5 linked regions of the Oryzias latipes genome follow. The protein of the gene in region 2 purifies or fractionates together with the protein of the main gene of each other region. This does not show direct contact. Links are inferred from orthologs where the notes say so. Each region holds a gene or a part of one and is shown on either strand. Other genes may lie near its edges. The genes, in order: Na(+)/H(+) exchange regulatory cofactor NHE-RF1, phlpp2, usp12, usp1 and usp46.

Region 1 (4,248 bases), on a different chromosome or scaffold from region 2:
GAAATGAGAATGTGATGGTCTCAGCAATCAAAGTACGTTTAACCCTTTCATTCTGAAACATTCTGACATTACGGTAGATCAAAACACGCGTGTCATCCGCTGTCGCCTGTGACACGTTTGGTATTGAAGGGTGAAATGAGACAAACTCGTTTTTTTTTCCTGTAACAGCAGATAACTTCACCAGACCTGCCTGGGCTTTGTTCTGATCAATCACAACAGGTGAAATGACAGGATTATTTTCCAAATCAGTCATGTGACGTATGACTCACAGGCATCGCCAAACAGAAATTCTGCTTTTATCTGGAACAAAATCCACAGAGAAGAATGGAGGAAAAAAAAGACTCCCCCCATTAAAGGGATTTTACAAAAAGACTAAATTAGGTTTTGTAAAGTCAAAGTGTAAGACCCACACAAGCCTCTGTCGAATCAGGATAGCAGACCAGTTCACGCCGTCTAGTGTTGGTCACATGACTGATGCTCTGACAGGAGACCGGAGGCCAAGGCAGAAAGTAAAGTGAGTGCATCTATAAACCAGCAAAGAGGAGACGTGACAGCAGCAGATACAAGAGTTTGATGGCGAGCATTGAGAGACAAAGCCAGCCTACAAGACGTTTGTTTTGTTTAAACGCAAATGAGTCGACATTTTAAACACACACCAGTAAATCTGCACATTTATGGGAGAATTTAACTTCAATTATTTTGGAGGGAAAGCCTCTCTGGGACAATGACTGAAAAAGACAAAACAATGAGGTTACTTACGAACTTTACATATGTGTAAAACGTTGGTACGGATCTTTTGTAAACATTTCTATAAATGTAAATGACAACATAACCACTCTGGTGATCAAACTCTCCCTAAATATTGGAGGATGGATTAGTAAGATGTCAGCTTTTAAAGAAAACAAGCTTAAGTTTTAGAAATCAGAACAAAATTCCAGAAACCAAAACACAAAAAAGCAACAATTTGGGACAAAAAGTAGTTTCCACAAATAGAAATGTTATTTTCAAAAACAAACATGAAATGGATTCACTATGGGACGTCACTGATTGGATAATCATATGCAGTGTTACTTTTGTTGTGATTTCTAAAATGTAATTGTTTTTTTATTCCTTGTCTTGCTGTTTTAATTGTTGTTGTGATAATTTGATGTTTTAGTGTTGAATGATTGTACAGAAGAGTGGAATGTTCTGCATCTATTCATCCCCCAAAAAACAGCAGGAGTCCCGTGTTTGTCCATTAAAAACTAAGAATAGAAACAGGAAAAAACTAATAAAATGCTGATGAAGCACAGAGTGGAATATTCAATTACTTAATGATGATCTAAGTGAAGTTTAGCCCGAGCTGTGCCGGCCTTTAAAGTCTTCTTATCTCTGCTAAAGATAAGAACTGAATTATCCTCTGATGATGTAACCAACTTCTTAAGGTGGATCACTTCTGGAAATTTTCCATAGAAGAAAGTCTTGTAGAATTTATGGGTTTTTAAAACATTTCATTTTTTGTATTATTTGCGCTGCTCCTGCGTCTTAAGGACCCACTTTTCTGTGTTTGTAACATGTTTTTGGGTCATTTGTCTCACGATAGACGGCATTTATGAAGTAAATGAGGCTAAAAATGACAAATCGCTGTGAAACAGGAACAGATAAAAAACAAATGCTTTCATTTGTGACGTAGAAAATAATCTGGGTGGGCCACAACTCAGAGGTGAATTTCTATTGAACTGCTGCTGCTCTGCAGAAACTATGTCCTGGAAAACAACACAGCCTCCTAACTGAAAGAGCACTGCTTCGAAAACAGATCAATGAATAAAAACTGAGCACAGTCTCCACCTATCAGCCTCTTCCATGGAAACTCTCTCTGGCAATAATCCGGAAAGATCCCCAGGACACCGGCTGGTTATAATCTGCATGCTGTGCTCATGAGCACAAGGTCACTCGGGAGGAAGAGGCTGACTGGCTGACTGGCTGACTGGCTGGCTGGCTGACTGGCTGGCTGGCTGGCTGGCTGGCTGGCTGGCTGGCTGGCTGGCTGGCTGGCTGGCTGGCTGGCTGGCTGGCTGGCTGGCTGGCTGCTCTGTCGTCCAAGTCAGAAACTTCATCCCCGAAACATTTCATTTAAAATCAATAAAAACTGGGAGGACAGGTTAGTCACGTGCTCAATTGATCAACCTCGGATTAATTTAATCTGAAACAACACGTGACTTCTGAAGTTTTGAAGCGTTTGGAACTTTCTTGATCACACACCTTGTTGCTGGAGGTGATGCTCAGCCTCCCCGACCTCTCCGAGGACGCGTCCCCGTTCTCGTGCGGCAGCGGGCTCGCCTCCCTCGGGGTGCCGTTGCTCTGGGCGTCCCCGCGGTCCGAGTCGCTGTCCCGGCCGGGCACGGGGATCCCCTCGGTGACGAACTCTCTCCGGCATTGCAGGTTGTGCTTCTTCAGCAGCTCCGCCGTCTCGTCGTCCACCACGATAAGCTCCAGGGCGCCGCTGGTCGCTCGTATCCGGGAGACCACCTGCTGGTGGCTCTCGCCCTCCACGTTCTCCCCGTTCACGAACATCAGCCGGTCTCCGGCGAGCAGCCCGGCGGCGGAGGCGGGGGTGTCGGGCTCCACGAGCCGGATGAACTGCCCGCTCTTGCCTTTATCCCCGTGCAGGTGGAACCCGTACCCGGCGACTCCCTTCTCCATCAAGCACAGTCTGGGGCGAAGGTGGGACATCTTTGTTTCTGACAGCAGACACCTTTGGAGCCGAAAACGAGCCGCCTGCCGCGCGCCACTCCGCAACTTCCGCTAAACTGAGTCACGTCAAAAGTTTCAGCTGTTAAAGTTTTCTTGAGGCACGCGGCGGGCCCGCCCACAGTCTGGCCCCGCCCACGCCCCCCCCCCCCCCCCCCCCCGGCTTGGAGAGCTTCTGTCCCCTCCCCTTTCGAGCGCGCGCCACCCCCTCACCGGAAGTGCCGTGTCAATTTCCTTAACTGACTTAATTTCAAAATAAGATGACTCTCACTAACATTCTAGTTTTATTCTTTCATTATAGACGCTTTTATACGGAAGCTCTGAGCTGCCACTGCGAAAAATATTTTTTGGAACAGCTTCTCGTAATAACGAGAAAGTACTTTTATACTTTTATTATTATTTTTTTTAACATTTTCTCAGCTAAACCAGACTAGCTCAGCTGCTTTAAACAAGCATTTGTCATGTGGTAAAAAAAAAAAGATTAGTCATTTCACACTTTCTTTATATTATCCCCATCTTTATATATATTATTATATTATTATAATCTTTTAAGATTTATAAAGTTCCAGTTTTTCAAGTATTTTATATGTTGGAAATTGTTCTCAGGGTTCTTTTAATAATGATTTTACAGTTTTTAACCCAAATAAAAACCTGCATTGTTTTTTACGACACATTCTCTTTATCAGAATTTACCTCTGACTGTTGGTGTGGAAGTAAGCCTCCACTGATTCCCCATCATCCCTTTGCATACACTCTCTCCCGCTAGTCTAAAGCCCCTCCCGACTCCTAGCTAATATTGGTGGCACAATAAAAATGGCGAGCAATATTGCAGCTACAGTTTTGAACGGTATGAATGAGGAAAAAAAAGTATACTTGGATCTATTTGTCTGCAAGTGCATCAGAATGGAGCAGAAAGGGGGTGGGGGCTCGCCCGCCCATCTCAGTTTTGCATCACAACTGAGAGCTTTTTCAAAAAAGGCAGGTTTTCATCTGCTAAACATCACCATTTGAAAGATGAAAACAAGGGACTCAGAAATGCAGTTTTAATCTTAAATTCGTTTATGTATGTCGTCCACTGTGAGAAAAATGCTACGAGAACATGTTAAAAACACCACTTTCATTGGAGTGGGTCTTTAACCAAATCCAATTTAATTTTCAAGACCTAGGTGGAATGATGGTCATGTTGTAATTCTTGTATTCTCACACATCTGCACTAACAGTTGTCACCTTAACCTCCAGCTTGTTGCTGATGGTTTTGTAGTCCATTCTGGTCGGGTGCAGGTCTTCTTCCTTTAATCCACTGAAAGATCTTTAGTCTTTCCATGTTGGAGAGTTGGAGTCTGACTGATGGACTGAGGGTGTATTCAGACTGGAAAGGATTGCTGGTTCAGACTGGGTCAGTTTAATTTGGTCCAAATCGAGTCCTGAATTTTAAACGTCTGTATTCACGTCAGGTGCAGCACTTTCTACTCGATTACTTTGGTATGGCGGAGACATGCTGCGAGACGGTTACTGAGA
Region 2 (4,310 bases):
TGCTTCTTTTGTTTGGATGAAGCCATTGTGTAAAGGGCTTGGAAGAGCATCTGTCTCCCTGTTTGTTAAGAAATAATTTAATCCACTGTGTTTTGAAAACCTGATCGGTGTCCCGCCCCCTCCAACACTTATCCTGGCTGAAAAGAAAAAGATATCCAAATTATTTTTGGGGTTGGCAAAGGCATGAGGTTCACTTTTTTTCTTGTCACCTTTGACAAACCAGTTTTTCGGTTCCATGGCTTCAAGGAGTGAATGAATGTCGGACTGAAAGTATGAACTTATTAAAGATGAGAAGCTGTAAAATATTAAATGGGATATTTTCAATTTATGCTGTGTATTCTTGTCTTTGGGTTGGAGAAAATGATCAAGCAAATAAAAAGTCAAATAAAAGTGGAGTTCAATGATAGAACTGTTGTTCTTAGTTTGGTGTGTGGTGGCTTTTTTATTAATTTTATCATGCGGAGTCATGGCTGCACTTGCATTTATCAGTAAGTCCTGATTCATTCAACAAGTTTGCAAAAACAAACTAACAATATGTTTGTAAAAAGCCAAAAAATAACATCTGAAACTTTCTGTTATCCAATCATGGTATAGCTTCTTTTTTAAATTCTCTATTACATATAAAACAAGTTTAAATGAAATAAAAATTATTTTTACAATTACTTTAAATTCTATTAGATTTTATCAGTGAGCAATATTTTGTCTTTACACCCTGTTAGACATTGCCTCAACACAACAACCCTGCCACCTTAAGTGTCTTGGATGCTTTATATTTGTCAGCAATAACGACTGTTTACAATAGATTTATGTCTTGAACTTATTGCTTTTTTCATTCCATATCTTCAAATTAACGTGCGACCAAAATATGCAGAGTTAGGTTTATTAAAGTCCCACTTAAATCATCTTTGGATCTATTTTAAAAGCATTTCCAGTAATTATTAGATTAGAATTATGCTGGGTTTAGCCCAAATAAAGTGTAGTTTTCTACTACAGTTCCTGCATGGCAGCTGTAGTTTATTAGAAATTCACCTGAGTTGTGGGTGGGACTGTTGGTGCAGAGTAAGACCACCCTACCTTCCCATCATCCTCTTCTTTACACTTTCTCCTGCTTGTTTACAAACTCCTCAACCTAACATTAGCAGTGCAACAAATATGGTTAGCAATATTGGAGCTATCCAGCCGTACAGTTTTAAGCCAGACGCAAACTCAGAAGAGGAAAATTAATATGCTAATGGATCTATTTGTCTGCAAGTGGATGCATCGGAATGGAATGGAGCGGAGCACAGAGCTTGTGGCCTGTCATAGGCTCACACCTACAGGCTTTCCCCAACTGCATTCTTTCATCTGCTCCTGATTCACAACGATTTAAATTAAGACATACTCATAAATACAATTTTAGGCTTAAGTTTTCTTTATAATTGTCCTCCATCATGGGAAAATTGTAGCTAGAACATGTAAAAAAACACCATATTCAGAGTGCGTATGTAAACCAGTTTAGTATATTTTATTGTTGCTGAATCTAATAGCAATTTTTGTTCTAAGTTTTTTATTTTATTTTGAAAGCTGTGTTTATTTAAAGCCCCTTAAACTGCGCATGCCAACAGATATTCCCATAAAAACGATTTGCGCTCATAATGTCCGCGATCCTAGCCCCGCCCATGTCCGCGCGCCTGGCCCCGCCTATGTCATGTTTATTGAGCAGCCCTCTGCAGGCCTGTGCGGCTCCAGTCGCATCAGTCGGGACATGGCGTCTCTGCGCGGACGCGGGATGCTGTTTCGTCTCTCCGTGGGAATCGGTCAGCCGCTCGCCTTCTGGACCTCATAACCGGAATCCCACATGACGATGGAGGACGAGGACGGCAGCGCGGCGCTCTCCACCCGCAACATCCAACAGAAGCAGGCAGGGGGTGTCGGAGGGAACGGGGCTTGCATCGACAGGCAGCCGGACACGGTGGTCCACCAGGCGGGGCTCAACCACACCACTGGTCGCGGCAGCCGCAGCGGTCCCGGGGCTCATTCCGCGACCGGGATCCGAGTGCTAAAGGCAAGTCCCACCGTGACCGACCCGTGATGCTGCGCGTGAACCACGGAGTGCTGAAAACATGCCTTTATGGCGCTGAAAGACGGAAACGGAGCAAAGTGCAGGCGATGAATGCCTATTATGTAACGGCGTGTGTGTCAAGTGTGCTGATCTCCATTCATTGAGAGGTAAAGTCACAGCAGCCAGAAAGCAGGCAGACCTGTCATGTCGAGGCCTTCTGCCGGACACCTGAGAAGATGACAGCCAGCCTGACAGTGCACATTACTCACATATTACATCCAGAATAAGTAGTATTATACCGTCATTATGTTTTCAGGTAAATGTATTTTCCCCAAAGTGTAACCAGTTTCACATCATTTGCACGTTATATTGATGCGTTTGCCACTATGCAGTGAAGTTTTGCATTAGACAGCAAGACTCGCCACACCTGGAAGGGAGCAGTTGCAAGAATATCAATGATTACCTTTTTTCTTCTTGCCAAGATTTTCATGTTTCCCCCCTGCAACAGGTGTGACATTCAAACTCTGCTCCTGCTGTCATTGAATTATGTGCCTCTGTTGAAAAGCTCAAACAGAGGAGAGACCTTAAAAGTAAAATTAAATCCACATTTATTTACATTTTTAAGTTTAATGTTCTTAAAATGAAAAAATACTAAAATGGAATATAAATCAATAATCAGATTATAAGTGTTAGAAATAGTCAGTTCTTATCAATTGCAACAACATATACATGAAACTAGTCATTTTAGTCTAGTTTTTTCTTTTAGGAATGTCATACTAATTTAGTGAAATTTGCTTTGTGCATTTACATTTGTGCATATGGCATTTACCTGCAGCACAAATATAACTGCAAAGTGACAAAGTCCTCCTGGTTATTTGTTTTTCACCAGTTTCTAGTCCCCATAACCTCTAAAGAACCAATCAGACTGCTTAGATTGGAATGCTCTGCAAATATTTTACTTAAAAACCTGACTGCTGGGCCTCCTCTGTGAGGAAGCGTCTGTGTCAAAGCTGCACGTTTTTTTCCGTGTTGTGTTACTACAACAAAAAAAGAGACCTCCTGCCATGGACATGAGCTCTTTCATGGAGCTCCTCAGACGCTTATCCACTTCAACATTTGTTGTTATATGAAAACATGACCCTAGGGGTAGATAGGACTAGGTATCACTGCCAAACAGTTGATTCTGGATTCACAAGTTCATCATGGTAGAATTTCCATTTCAACTCAATTCAGTACTAGTTTATAGTTTCAAATGTGCATTCTGGTAATGAAAAAGCAGGGGGGGAAAATCAGGAACTTTTGTTGATAAAATGATGAATTCTAATATTAGAAACTAACAGAGAAGCTGGGTTTTACTTGAAAAAAAGCAACAAAATGGATTTAACAGAAAACCAATAGATTTGATAAATACATTTAGAGTTTTATAAGTAAAGAATAACTTAATTATTCTAAATTTCAAACCCAGCTCTATATCCTAAACCATATAATGTCACATTAGATTGTAATTTGTCATTTTTCTTCTAGGAAGACTGAGGATACACGAAGACTATTGTTTGAGCCACTTGACCATCCTATTTTTTATTGCATAATTTCAAAAGTGTCCTAAAAGGTGAAGTTTGATACCCTTCTGATGTCTTTAAGTGTTAATGTAATTATTCATTTTTTTTCCCAGTTTATCAGAAAATAATTGATTTTATTTTGGCCTGCACAATAAATCACAAGATTATCATTATGGCGGTATCAAATTGTGTAATACACATATTGCAAAATATGGCGAAAATTGCAATAAATGCTAACCTTAAATATGCTAAAACAATCTTATGGCAGCTTAGAGATTTAATGAATCAAATAAATCCATTTATGCATTTGACCAATCGGATGGAGCCCTTTTAGATGCTGGCCTCCTATGCAAATGAGGGTCATTTAGACTAGAGTATAATTTAAGCGATGTTGACTCTAAATGAAACTGTTGCAGTGAAATGGAGATTATGTTTTTTGTTGTTTTGCTATTTGTTCATGTATCACAAGTTTTATTGCCATCGCAATATTGATCATTAATATCCCAAATGGCAGGTTTTCCTTATATCATGCAGCCCTAATTTTAGTGATAAATGCCAGAATCAAAGGACCTGAAATGAATCATTTGCAAGATCATCTTTGGTTTAAAATGACTGGACTTTACACAAGGAACTGCAGGTGGAAAAGCACAGACTTTCAGTGGACGGTTTAATTTCATGCAAGAAAGTGTTTTTTTTTTTTATGGTGGTTG
Region 3 (3,517 bases), on a different chromosome or scaffold from region 2:
CTTCAGGATGTAGATTACAAATGATCCTGTTGTAACGGCTTAATCTGTTACATTTCAGAGCTGTTTGACAATTACATGCAGCAGGATGCCCACGAGTTCCTGAATTATCTCCTCAACACTATTGCTGACCTGCTTCAAGAGGAAAGGAAGCAGGAGAAGACCAATGGCCGCCTTGCCAATGGGACATTGGACTCCCAGAATAACAACAGCAATGCTACGCCTGCACCCACCTGGGTCCATGAGATCTTCCAAGGCACTCTGACCAATGAAACCCGCTGCCTCACCTGTGAAACAGTGAGCTACATCAGCTTTTTGTTAAGTTGCACTATCCTGTTTGCTAAAGTTAAAAAAAAGGGTTAATTTAATCTAATTAGACTAATATTTTTCAAGTTCAGTTGCATGTGTCTGAAAATATTTTTTCTGCTCAGATAAGCAGCAAGGATGAGGATTTTCTGGATCTTTCTGTGGATGTAGAACAGAATACCTCCATCACTCACTGTCTCAGGTAAAGAAAACTTGTTGAATGCATATCACTTCCTCATTTTTGTCTCGACAATAACTTTTGTCAGTTAAAGTGCAATCGTAGACTGAATTTGGGCAGTTCTTATAAAAAGCTTTTCACAAGTTAAAGCAGCGAATAAAAGTGACTTGTAAAATATTTTGTTTATTGATGGATGGAGCTGATTCCTCAGCATGATGTCAGCCTTGTGTTGAAAAAGTGCTCAGCTCAGCTGGGATGAACTGTGGCAGCCGTGGACCCATTAAACCCGGCTGTCTCGGGGAAAGTTTGTAAAACCATCAAGTGACAGAATGATGTGTGTGTTGGCAGCAATTTTTTAACCTTTCATCACGTTGGCTCTGCAAAGAAAAGAAAAAATCAGTCCACCAAGGCTGCAGTGATGATATTTACTGCTGAAGCAGAAGAGGCCTGTGCATGACGCTGAATCCCAAACTTGGCTAGTATTACTGCTAAATGATGTTCATAGAGGTCGTGGGAAAGTTGCTTAGTTTTAGACGATTAATGTCTAATTAGAGCTTCATAAATGAGCTCGTATTACATAACATTTTATAGCATGCATTAACCTTTTTCCTTTATCTGTCAGGGGTTTCAGTAACACGGAGACGCTCTGCAGTGAGTACAAATACTACTGTGAAGAATGTAGAAGCAAGCAGGAGGCACACAAGAGGTGAGCGCTTCAAGATTCTTGCACGCATACGTTGGGCACTAATTCCCTTTTTGTGTCATTTTGTTCTTAGGATGCGTGTCAAAAAGCTGCCGATGATCCTGGCTCTGCATCTAAAGCGCTTTAAGTACATGGAGCAGCTGCAGCGCTACACCAAACTGTCCTATCGGGTCGTCTTCCCCCTGGAACTGCGCCTCTTCAACACGTCAGGAGACGCCACCAATCCTGAGAGGCTTTACGATCTGGTCGCAGTTGTGGTACATTGTGGGAGGTATGTATGTGGAGAAACAGGCATCAGCATCATATTATCCCCAGATATGAAAACGAATTACTTTCTTACAAAGTATTTAATTTTTTGACAGCCTAACTGCCATTTTGGGGTACGTGCTGATGATTATTGACACAGAAAACACATGGAATCACTGGCACATTACAATCTTTATCAGACAAACATCTTAAGGAATCAACTTTTAAACCTCATAAGATGTATGTCCTTTACTAAAAAAATGATTTAAAATGAATTTTTTAAATAACTATTAACATTTTTATTTTCAGAAGACATTGGACTCATAAATGATTGTTGCAAAACTCTCATCATTAGATTATCACTTCCTGAAATCAATGACATCATATTAAAAAAGAAAAAGAAGGGAAGAAAAGTAGTGAGCGTTGTGTCCAAATTGCTTTTAAAATCTAGGGCACTACATAGTCCCGCACTATATAGTTTTTTAGGAGTTAAGGATCAGGGTGGGAATTCGGACACAGCTCATGACTTCCATCACCAATCGTCAATGCAATCAATCATGTCCCGGTAGCCAATGGGCTCAGAGCGTAATAGTACATTAAGGACTGAAAAATCAAAATTTAAAAACACAAGACGGTATCTGTTACAAATAAATATACATATTTTTTTATTTCGTTGTAAATATTCAAAAAGTCTTTTAAGTTTACTAGCCGTCCACGGGGCTTTGTTTTGGCTCTGCTATCGTGTTTGTGCAGCGTGAATAAATAGTTCGCAGAGTCTTGGTCAGAAATCTACTGGTAAAGATGTTAACTTGTAGTTCCACAGTAACCCAAAATGTTGCTGCCAGTTTATCCATGTTGTTTTGTCCTTGTTAGCCTACAGTGTTTTTTTTGTTTGCTTTTTGTCAAATGTTAGTATTTTTTTCTTAAAGTTAAATGATATTTTTTCACATAAAAAAGTTTGAATTTCAATTTTTCAATAATTTTCTAAAATATAATATATATATATATATATATATATATATATATATATATATATATATATATATATATATATATATATATATATATATATATATATATATATATATATATATATATATATATATATATATATATATATATATATATATATATATATATATATATATATATATATATATATATTTTTTTTTTTAACTTGTCCTGTCCAACAGCTGGGCAGTCACATGAGAGCTGAGGGCCTCTTGGGTTGGACATATTTTACTTTAACAAGAGGGGTTATTAATCTTCAGACAAACCAAAGGTATGTCTGAATAAACCCCTTTTGTAATTGAGGCCAAACTTTATTAATTTCAAACATGTCTGAAAATCTTTGGTGTTGGACCGGACGGAAAAGGAAAGAGGGGAAGAAGAGAGAGGGACGTTAGAGAGAGGGGGGGTAGGGGGTGATAATAGAAGGGGAAGGGGGATAAGACCATGAAGCAGCATAAAGCAACAAGTTTACTGGTTGTTAGCAGGAAGTAGCAGAGATTGGAAAGGATGAGGTTAGGAAGGCTCTGAAAAGGATCAAGAGCGGAAAGGCCGTTGGTCCTGATGACGTACCTGTGGAGGTATGGAAGTGCTTAGGAGAGACAGCAGTGGAATTTCTAACGAGGTTGTTCAATAGGATTTTAGAGAGTGAGAAGATGCCTGAGGAATGGAGGAGAAGCGTTCTGGTTCCGATCTTTAAGAACAAGGGTGACACGCAGAACTGCAGCAACTATAGAGGAATAAAGTTGATGAGCCACACAATGAAGCTGTGGGAAAGAGTAGTGGAAGCCAGGCTTAGGAAGAAGGTGGAGATTTGTGAGCAGCAGTATGGTTTCATGCCCCGTAAGAGCACCACTGATGCCATTTTTGCTTTGAGAATGTTGATGGAAAAGTACAGAGAAGGTCAGAAGGAGCTGCATTGTGTGTTGGTAGATTTAGAGAAGGCGTATGACAGGGTGCCGATGGAGGAGCTGTGGTACTGTATGAGGTCGTCTGGAGTGGCAGAGAAGTATGTCAGAGTAGTTCAGGACATGTATGAGAGAAGTATGACGGTGGTGAGATGTGCTGTAGGTCAGACA
Region 4 (2,580 bases), on a different chromosome or scaffold from region 2:
CTTCAGAGTCCTCAGCTCGGGTTTAGGCTCTGGAGAGACTGAAGAAGAAAAACCATCGACTCCCCTTCTTCCTTACTTTTCTATTCACGGCTGATAAAGGGGAAGAACCTCCAGGAGACGCCTGAACTTGTCACAGCCCTGAAACCGGCTGTAGAAACTCACCCTCTGAGAAGTCGTCTGGGCTGCTGGCTTGGTCATCCAGCACTGGGACGCTGATGTCATGGAAGTCTTCCCTTCTCTCCGTGAAGCTCTCACATTCCAGACATCGAGTCCTCAGAACTAGCTGGCCCTGGAACAGCCGCTCCATCAGGCCCAGACTCCCTGAAGCAAACAAGAATACATGGCTCAGTTGTGAGCGCTGCTTTGGGTTAATCAGTTAAAACATGGTTTCCTCTCCAGACTTCAAATGGTTCCCCAAACAAACCTTTATGTTTCTCTGTGTTCTTGTGTTCAGTTGGTGGAGATTCGTTTTCCTTGTCCCTCTGTTGGTTCTCCTGCTCTGCCTTGTTGTTCTTTCCTGTTGTGGAGCTGATCTTTCCAACGCTGCAGAACTTCGAGAAAATTCCGGGCTGCTTCCCAGACGCTCTCAGCCAGCTCAGCTTCGTTCTCTTCTTCCGCTTCCCATCCATGGTTTTAGGTTGCTTTTGGTCTTTCTCCTCTTCGTTTCCCCCCTCTTTGACCTCCGCTCCGGTCTTATTTTGAGTGAACGTCGTGTCACTGGAGGACTTCCTCTTGGAGCGAGTGAAGGGTTTGCTTGTGTTGTTTTCCTCTCCAGTTTCTCCTTTCTTAGATTTGCCAGACTTGGGCTTCTTCTTCACGTTTCCCACCTCTGTGTCACTCTTCCTCTTGCCGGTGACTTGACCGTCTTCCTCAGTGTTTAGTGTGGATTGGGCCTCAGAGCAGCTGTCGTTCCCCATATTCACTTTTCCAACATCGGTTTCACTTTCTTCCTCACGTTCCTTTCTGATGGTGTCACAGGCCTCCTGGATGTATCCCAATATGCACTGCAGAACCTCCTGAGCATCATGTTGGAGGTGGCCTTCATACATGGGGTTCAGCTGCCTGCAAAACAGAACATGGATCCGTTGGGATCTCCTCTTTCTCCTTCAATCGGGAAAACATGGGTGCTGGCTCTCACTGCAATGCAATGACTGGGATACCATGTGGAAGCCTCACCTGAGCGTATGCAGAACTGTACAGGGCGGAGTGGCCAGCTCTCCTTCAGAGAAGCTCTCAGGGTTGAGCAGGAAGTTGGACTGCCGCTCCTCTACAGATGTTATCAGACTGTTGAGGCTTCCCAGGAGCTCAACGGCAGCCGGCAGAGGCTCAGAAGAACAATCTGACGACTTAGATTGTGTCTGAGGGGATGAAGGCATGAAAAAAATGATCACATTAAAGAAATTGCATTTTTTTTTTTACAAACAACTCCTAAAAACGTTTGTGTACTTTTACATTTTAACATAAAAGCTTAATTCACAAATGTCAGATTTCTGTGTTCTAATACACTTTACTGTTGACCAACCTTCTCACTTTCAACTGCCCCTTCCTTTGGATTCTCCTGACATTTGGACAGATCATAGAGCGTCTTTATACCTTCTCTGAAGCCCGGGCAATAATGGAGAACCTGCACAAACAGCTTAACATGAGCACGCACACTTTAACCTTTGACCCTTTCCTATCTTAAAGGATTGCATTCATTTTATAGAACACATCCAGTATTTTAAGACGCAATTGAGGCAGAGTTCAAAGGTTTTTCAAGTTTATAAACAGAAATGTTACAATATTATATTTTTGTTCATCTTTTATTTTTACTAATTAAAAAAAGGTTAGCCAATCATAATGAAACAACATATTCCATGTTCAAAATCATAAAAATATAAAACTGAGTCAGCAGAATGATGAAAAAGGCAGACTTTTTTATCCTATTTCTTAAAAATAACTAAGTAAATGTCTCTCATCTCGTCCACCAATCAGGAAGTCCCATATCTGTCTGAACAGGTGTTTAACTGCAGCAGAGCCAGTGTCCACTGTCACTCTCCTCACATCCAAACACTGCTTTTGCAGATAAACCAGCGAGGAAACATGGACATGCAGGGCGCCACGGCAACTATGTGAAGCAGCCGCTTATCTCGAGCTATACTCTGCTCCGACATAAACACAGCTTTTTCAGTTTGAAAGACATTTTGGGGTTTTAGGAAGGCCATTTTTCAGCCTGCTAGATGGGCACTAGTGTCGGGAAAACAAAAAATTCTTTATAGGACATTAAACAACAGAAGACATACAAGGGGTAAAAAAAAATTAAGAACTGGTGAACCAATTGGACTCGCACAAAACACAGTTCAGTTTGTGGGCTTGTTTATTTTACAGTGATGAAAGTCAGGTAAGGAAAAAATCCCTGAACTTTTCTTTGAGCGATATGGCGGGCACAGAGCGAAATTTTGGAAAAATACGTGGTCTTAGATGCATTCTGGTGCATTCTGGCAGCTAGTTATTCACTTCTTTATCAAGAAACTAAGACTAATTGGAGCATCATGATTTTTCATTCAAACCCCTAGTTTGACTCTCCATTAAGGACTTGCT
Region 5 (3,517 bases), on a different chromosome or scaffold from region 2:
TTTTTGCTCCAACGTCACGTCACAAAAATATCACGAGAAAGGGGTGCGAGCAAAAAGGCGGCAACCTAAGCTAACGCAGCTGCAAATTTGGTACTGCGCTGACTGTGAGCCGCCCTGATGACTGCAAATAAATGCATTGTGGGAAACGGTGTCCAGACAGTTCTTGTAGTTTAAAGTGATCCATTGAAATCCATTAAAAAACCTATTGTTAAGAAATAGGCTACATACGTTACAAAACATTAAAATAAAAAGGAAAGTAAGGAACTCCTCCTGGTCCGGGGAGGGGGGGGGGGGGGGGGCTGTCAGGTTTCCCTAAATGTTCTCCTGCTTTCAAGCCTGGTCAATGTCACGCCCCCAAGAGTCATATACTATACTGTTATTGGTTGGTTTGTCAGCTCCGCACACAACACTGAAATACTGTCATTCATAAAAAACTGGCGGGACGCACTAACATTACACTTTCATATTAAGGTGGGGGCCTCCAAATATCGTCTTGGGGGCCGCAAATAGCCCGCGGGCCGCGAGTTTGAGACCCCTGCTTTGTCGGACAGCCCCTGAGGCTCTCCGGCAGGCTGTTCCACAGGCGAGGACCATAATGGCAGAACGAAGGCTCACCATAAGTTTAGGTCTTTAAAATTCCTAAGTTTGGGTAAAATCATCTCTCTCTCGTCTTCAGGACCAATGATTAAAAGTTTTGTCCTGGTTGAGCTGTAGGAAGTTTTCTGCCTTTCACGACTAGAGTGTTAATAGGTTCAAGGTCATCAGGAGATACAGCATTGTAAAGTTGTGTATCATCAGCATAGCTGTGAAAGTCAATGCCGTGTCTCCTGATGACATCACCAATAGGAAACATATAAAAGTTAAACAGTGTAGAACCAAATTCGACCCGTTGGGGAACCCCACAACTTAATTCATGGATTCCTGAAGACCATGTATCCATACTTACATAAAAGTGTTGGTCTGTAAGGTAAGAATAAAACCACTTATGAACATTTCCAGAGAGGCCCACTAGACTCCTACGTCTGTCCAATCAACTGTATCTAAGATCCAGCAGCACCAGAACAGAAAGTTTCTGTGAGTCTAATTTGTTTCTAATATCATAAAGTAAGGGATAATGTGCATCATCAGAAAATAAACGTATGCGGTGGAAGCCAGAGAACGGTTGCTTCTGCAAAGTATGTTGATGCTGATACTGCAGACTTCAAAGGTCATTAACCTGCTTACGGTACACTATGGTCACTCACAAAAGAAATGAAGATTTAGTTTTTAGTATTTTCTTCTTGTTGTTTTGTCAGTTTAGATCGCTTTTTTCCACAAAAAGCGGACTATTTATGACGTTGTGTGGCACATTGTCATGGTAACATGACAACGGGCGGAGCCTGTACCGACCTCAACAGCTGCGGCAAAGGAAAGTATCTGTGCTGATGGTCATGATGTGTTAAATAAAGCATCAGTTCAGAGAGAAAGTTCACCTCTTACCGCTTGTTTTTGTCCAAATGATGAAGATAAAGGTTGTTTTAAACAAGTGATACAAAACATTTAAGCTAGGTGACCGGAACTACTTTTTTAGGTGTACACTATCACTGTGGATTATCACTGTTTAGTGCACACCCAGCAGCCAATGAGTATTCACCCAGACCGCGGTATAACGATCTTTAAAAGAGACGTCTCTGTTCTGTGGTTTGTCCTAAAACCAGACTGTTATTTTTCTAAAATGTTTTGCTGCATTTAAAATCTCATGTAGTTGATTAGCAACACTTTTCTCTATAAGTTTACTTAAAATTGTGAGTTGAATTCAGATCTGCAGTAATCAGAGTATTTGGATCTAAAAGACTCTTCACCACTGAAGAAGAGTGTTCAGACTTCTAATGGGAATGTCAACCTGCTTCCCAGTTTTCCCTGGAGTTTCTCACGTCCAGCCAAACTGAGACCTTGAAAGTTCCACCAAAGCAGAAGAGGAATTTCGTGGAGAAGAGCGTGGACGTTGCCCTCTCACCGTTCTCCTTCCGCAGTCGGGAGATGAACTTCTTGGGTGGAATGACGCCCACCTTCTTCTTCTGTGTGGCAATGGAGTGGAAGAGGTCGGCCAGACACGTGAGCAGGTTCTCCTTCTTCTTCTGCTGAGCTTTGTAGGCCAGCACGTTCTCCCGGAAAGGCCGGCAGAAGTAGAGCGCCTGCAGCACGGAGTTACAGTAACACGTGTTTCCAAACTGAGGAGGACAAGGGCACACCAGTTACTTTATAAAAATACCTACTTTTCTGAGCCCCAGCAAACAGAACGCAGAAGAATGAATCTGTAGGCATCACACCGAAGATGATAAAGAAAAACGACATTTCTGCTTTTTTAATATGAGGTCACGATTCCAGGTCAGATGGAGAGTCTTTAACACCACAGCTTTGGCTATGAGGTGCCGTGTAGGACATTATTCAGAATTAGCATTCACATACACATGTGAAATCTCTCACACACACTAGTGAAATGCTTGTATACATACAACTGAAAATGTATTCATTCACATACACATGTGAAATCTCTCACATACACATGTCAAATCTCTCACATACACATGTGAAATGCTCTCACACACACTACTGAAATGCTCTCACACACACTACTGAAATGCTCTCACACACACTACTGAAATCCTCTCACACACACTACTGAAATCCTCTCACACACACTACTGAAATCCTCTCACACACACTACTGAAATCCTCTCACACACACTACTGAAATTTTCGACAGAAACGGAAGGCATTTCAGTAGAAACGGATGTTGGCTGATTATCGCGAGATAATCATTCGTCTGAATCATTCGAAAATGGCAGCCGGTTGCGCAAGGAAAACCACCGAAACGTGTAAGTATATTAAAAAATATCCAGTATCTGTTGTAAAATATATTTGTAAATACTTAAGATGATGTGTTTAATATGTTATATTCCTCAATCAACAACCTAGATTGTTTTGAAGCTCATCAATTTCAGTAATGCTAAAGCTAACGCGAATTAGCGCCGAAGGCTAAAAACAAACGCTAGATATTACATCAAAAAGCAGTGACTTCTAACCGTAGTCACAAGTTATTAACACATGTTTTAAATGTGTTCATATATGTAGGGACAGACGAGGATGAGGAAAATCCGATCCATTTGCAGATGGAGAAAGATAGCCTGTTTGTTTTCAAGCTAGCTCGTGCCAGATGGGTAGAGACATATGATCAGATTTGACTTCATTTTAATAAACGGTTAATCGTTGTCGTACTGGGTTAAAGGTTTATGTTAAAGACCCAGAAGAGAGAGGAGGAAAGGGCTAGAAGGGAGGAACAGCGACAGGAGAGTCTGTTAAGTTTACTTGAGTTGAAATTATTGTTCTAAAGTGTAATGCAGCCATTGTTTTTCCAATTTGTTTAATAAATGTATGAACAAAAATGAATAATTTACATGTATTATTTAAATCTGAGCTATTTTTAACAATCTTAAAAGGATTTTCATATAAATATCAGATGTACATATTTAGAATT

What was found.
Region 1: the proteins of phlpp2 (region 2) and Na(+)/H(+) exchange regulatory cofactor NHE-RF1 purify together in Homo sapiens (co-immunoprecipitation; 3 studies listed by BioGRID and IntAct, with this or other methods). This does not show direct contact. The link is inferred for Oryzias latipes from reciprocal best matches to the Homo sapiens genes PHLPP2 and NHERF1.
Region 3: the proteins of phlpp2 (region 2) and usp12 purify together in Homo sapiens (affinity purification with mass spectrometry; 3 studies listed by BioGRID and IntAct, with this or other methods). This does not show direct contact. The link is inferred for Oryzias latipes from reciprocal best matches to the Homo sapiens genes PHLPP2 and USP12.
Region 4: the proteins of phlpp2 (region 2) and usp1 purify together in Homo sapiens (affinity purification with mass spectrometry; 3 studies listed by BioGRID and IntAct, with this or other methods). This does not show direct contact. The link is inferred for Oryzias latipes from reciprocal best matches to the Homo sapiens genes PHLPP2 and USP1.
Region 5: the proteins of phlpp2 (region 2) and usp46 purify together in Homo sapiens (affinity purification with mass spectrometry; 4 studies listed by BioGRID and IntAct, counting the BioPlex papers as one, with this or other methods). This does not show direct contact. The link is inferred for Oryzias latipes from reciprocal best matches to the Homo sapiens genes PHLPP2 and USP46.

Annotation. Positions count from the first base shown.
Region 1 is NC_019877.2:24,330,278-24,334,525, forward strand, and holds the start of Na(+)/H(+) exchange regulatory cofactor NHE-RF1, read right to left. Parts: upstream 2,810-4,248; 5' UTR 2,713-2,809; coding exon 2,242-2,712; intron 1-2,241. UniProt on the Homo sapiens protein: Scaffold protein that connects plasma membrane proteins with members of the ezrin/moesin/radixin family and thereby helps to link them to the actin cytoskeleton and to regulate their surface expression. Necessary for recycling of internalized ADRB2.
Region 2 is NC_019861.2:21,093,649-21,097,958, reverse strand, and holds the start of phlpp2 (PH domain leucine-rich repeat-containing protein phosphatase 2), read left to right. Parts: upstream 1-1,504; 5' UTR 1,505-1,837; coding exon 1,838-2,044; intron 2,045-4,310. UniProt on the Homo sapiens protein: Protein phosphatase involved in regulation of Akt and PKC signaling.
Region 3 is NC_019878.2:17,506,763-17,510,279, forward strand, and holds part of usp12 (ubiquitin carboxyl-terminal hydrolase 12), read left to right. Parts: intron 1-58; coding exon 59-294; intron 295-428; coding exon 429-505; intron 506-1,103; coding exon 1,104-1,187; intron 1,188-1,257; coding exon 1,258-1,455; intron 1,456-3,517. UniProt on the Homo sapiens protein: Deubiquitinating enzyme that plays various roles in the regulation of the immune response and inflammation.
Region 4 is NC_019862.2:16,397,664-16,400,243, forward strand, and holds part of usp1 (ubiquitin carboxyl-terminal hydrolase 1), read right to left. Parts: intron 1,625-2,580; coding exon 1,523-1,624; intron 1,359-1,522; coding exon 1,177-1,358; intron 1,063-1,176; coding exon 425-1,062; intron 322-424; coding exon 163-321; intron 39-162; coding exon 1-38. UniProt on the Homo sapiens protein: Negative regulator of DNA damage repair which specifically deubiquitinates monoubiquitinated FANCD2. Also involved in PCNA-mediated translesion synthesis (TLS) by deubiquitinating monoubiquitinated PCNA.
Region 5 is NC_019862.2:999,725-1,003,241, reverse strand, and holds part of usp46 (ubiquitin carboxyl-terminal hydrolase 46), read right to left. Parts: intron 2,211-3,517; coding exon 1,997-2,210; intron 1-1,996. UniProt on the Homo sapiens protein: Deubiquitinating enzyme that plays a role in behavior, possibly by regulating GABA action. May act by mediating the deubiquitination of GAD1/GAD67.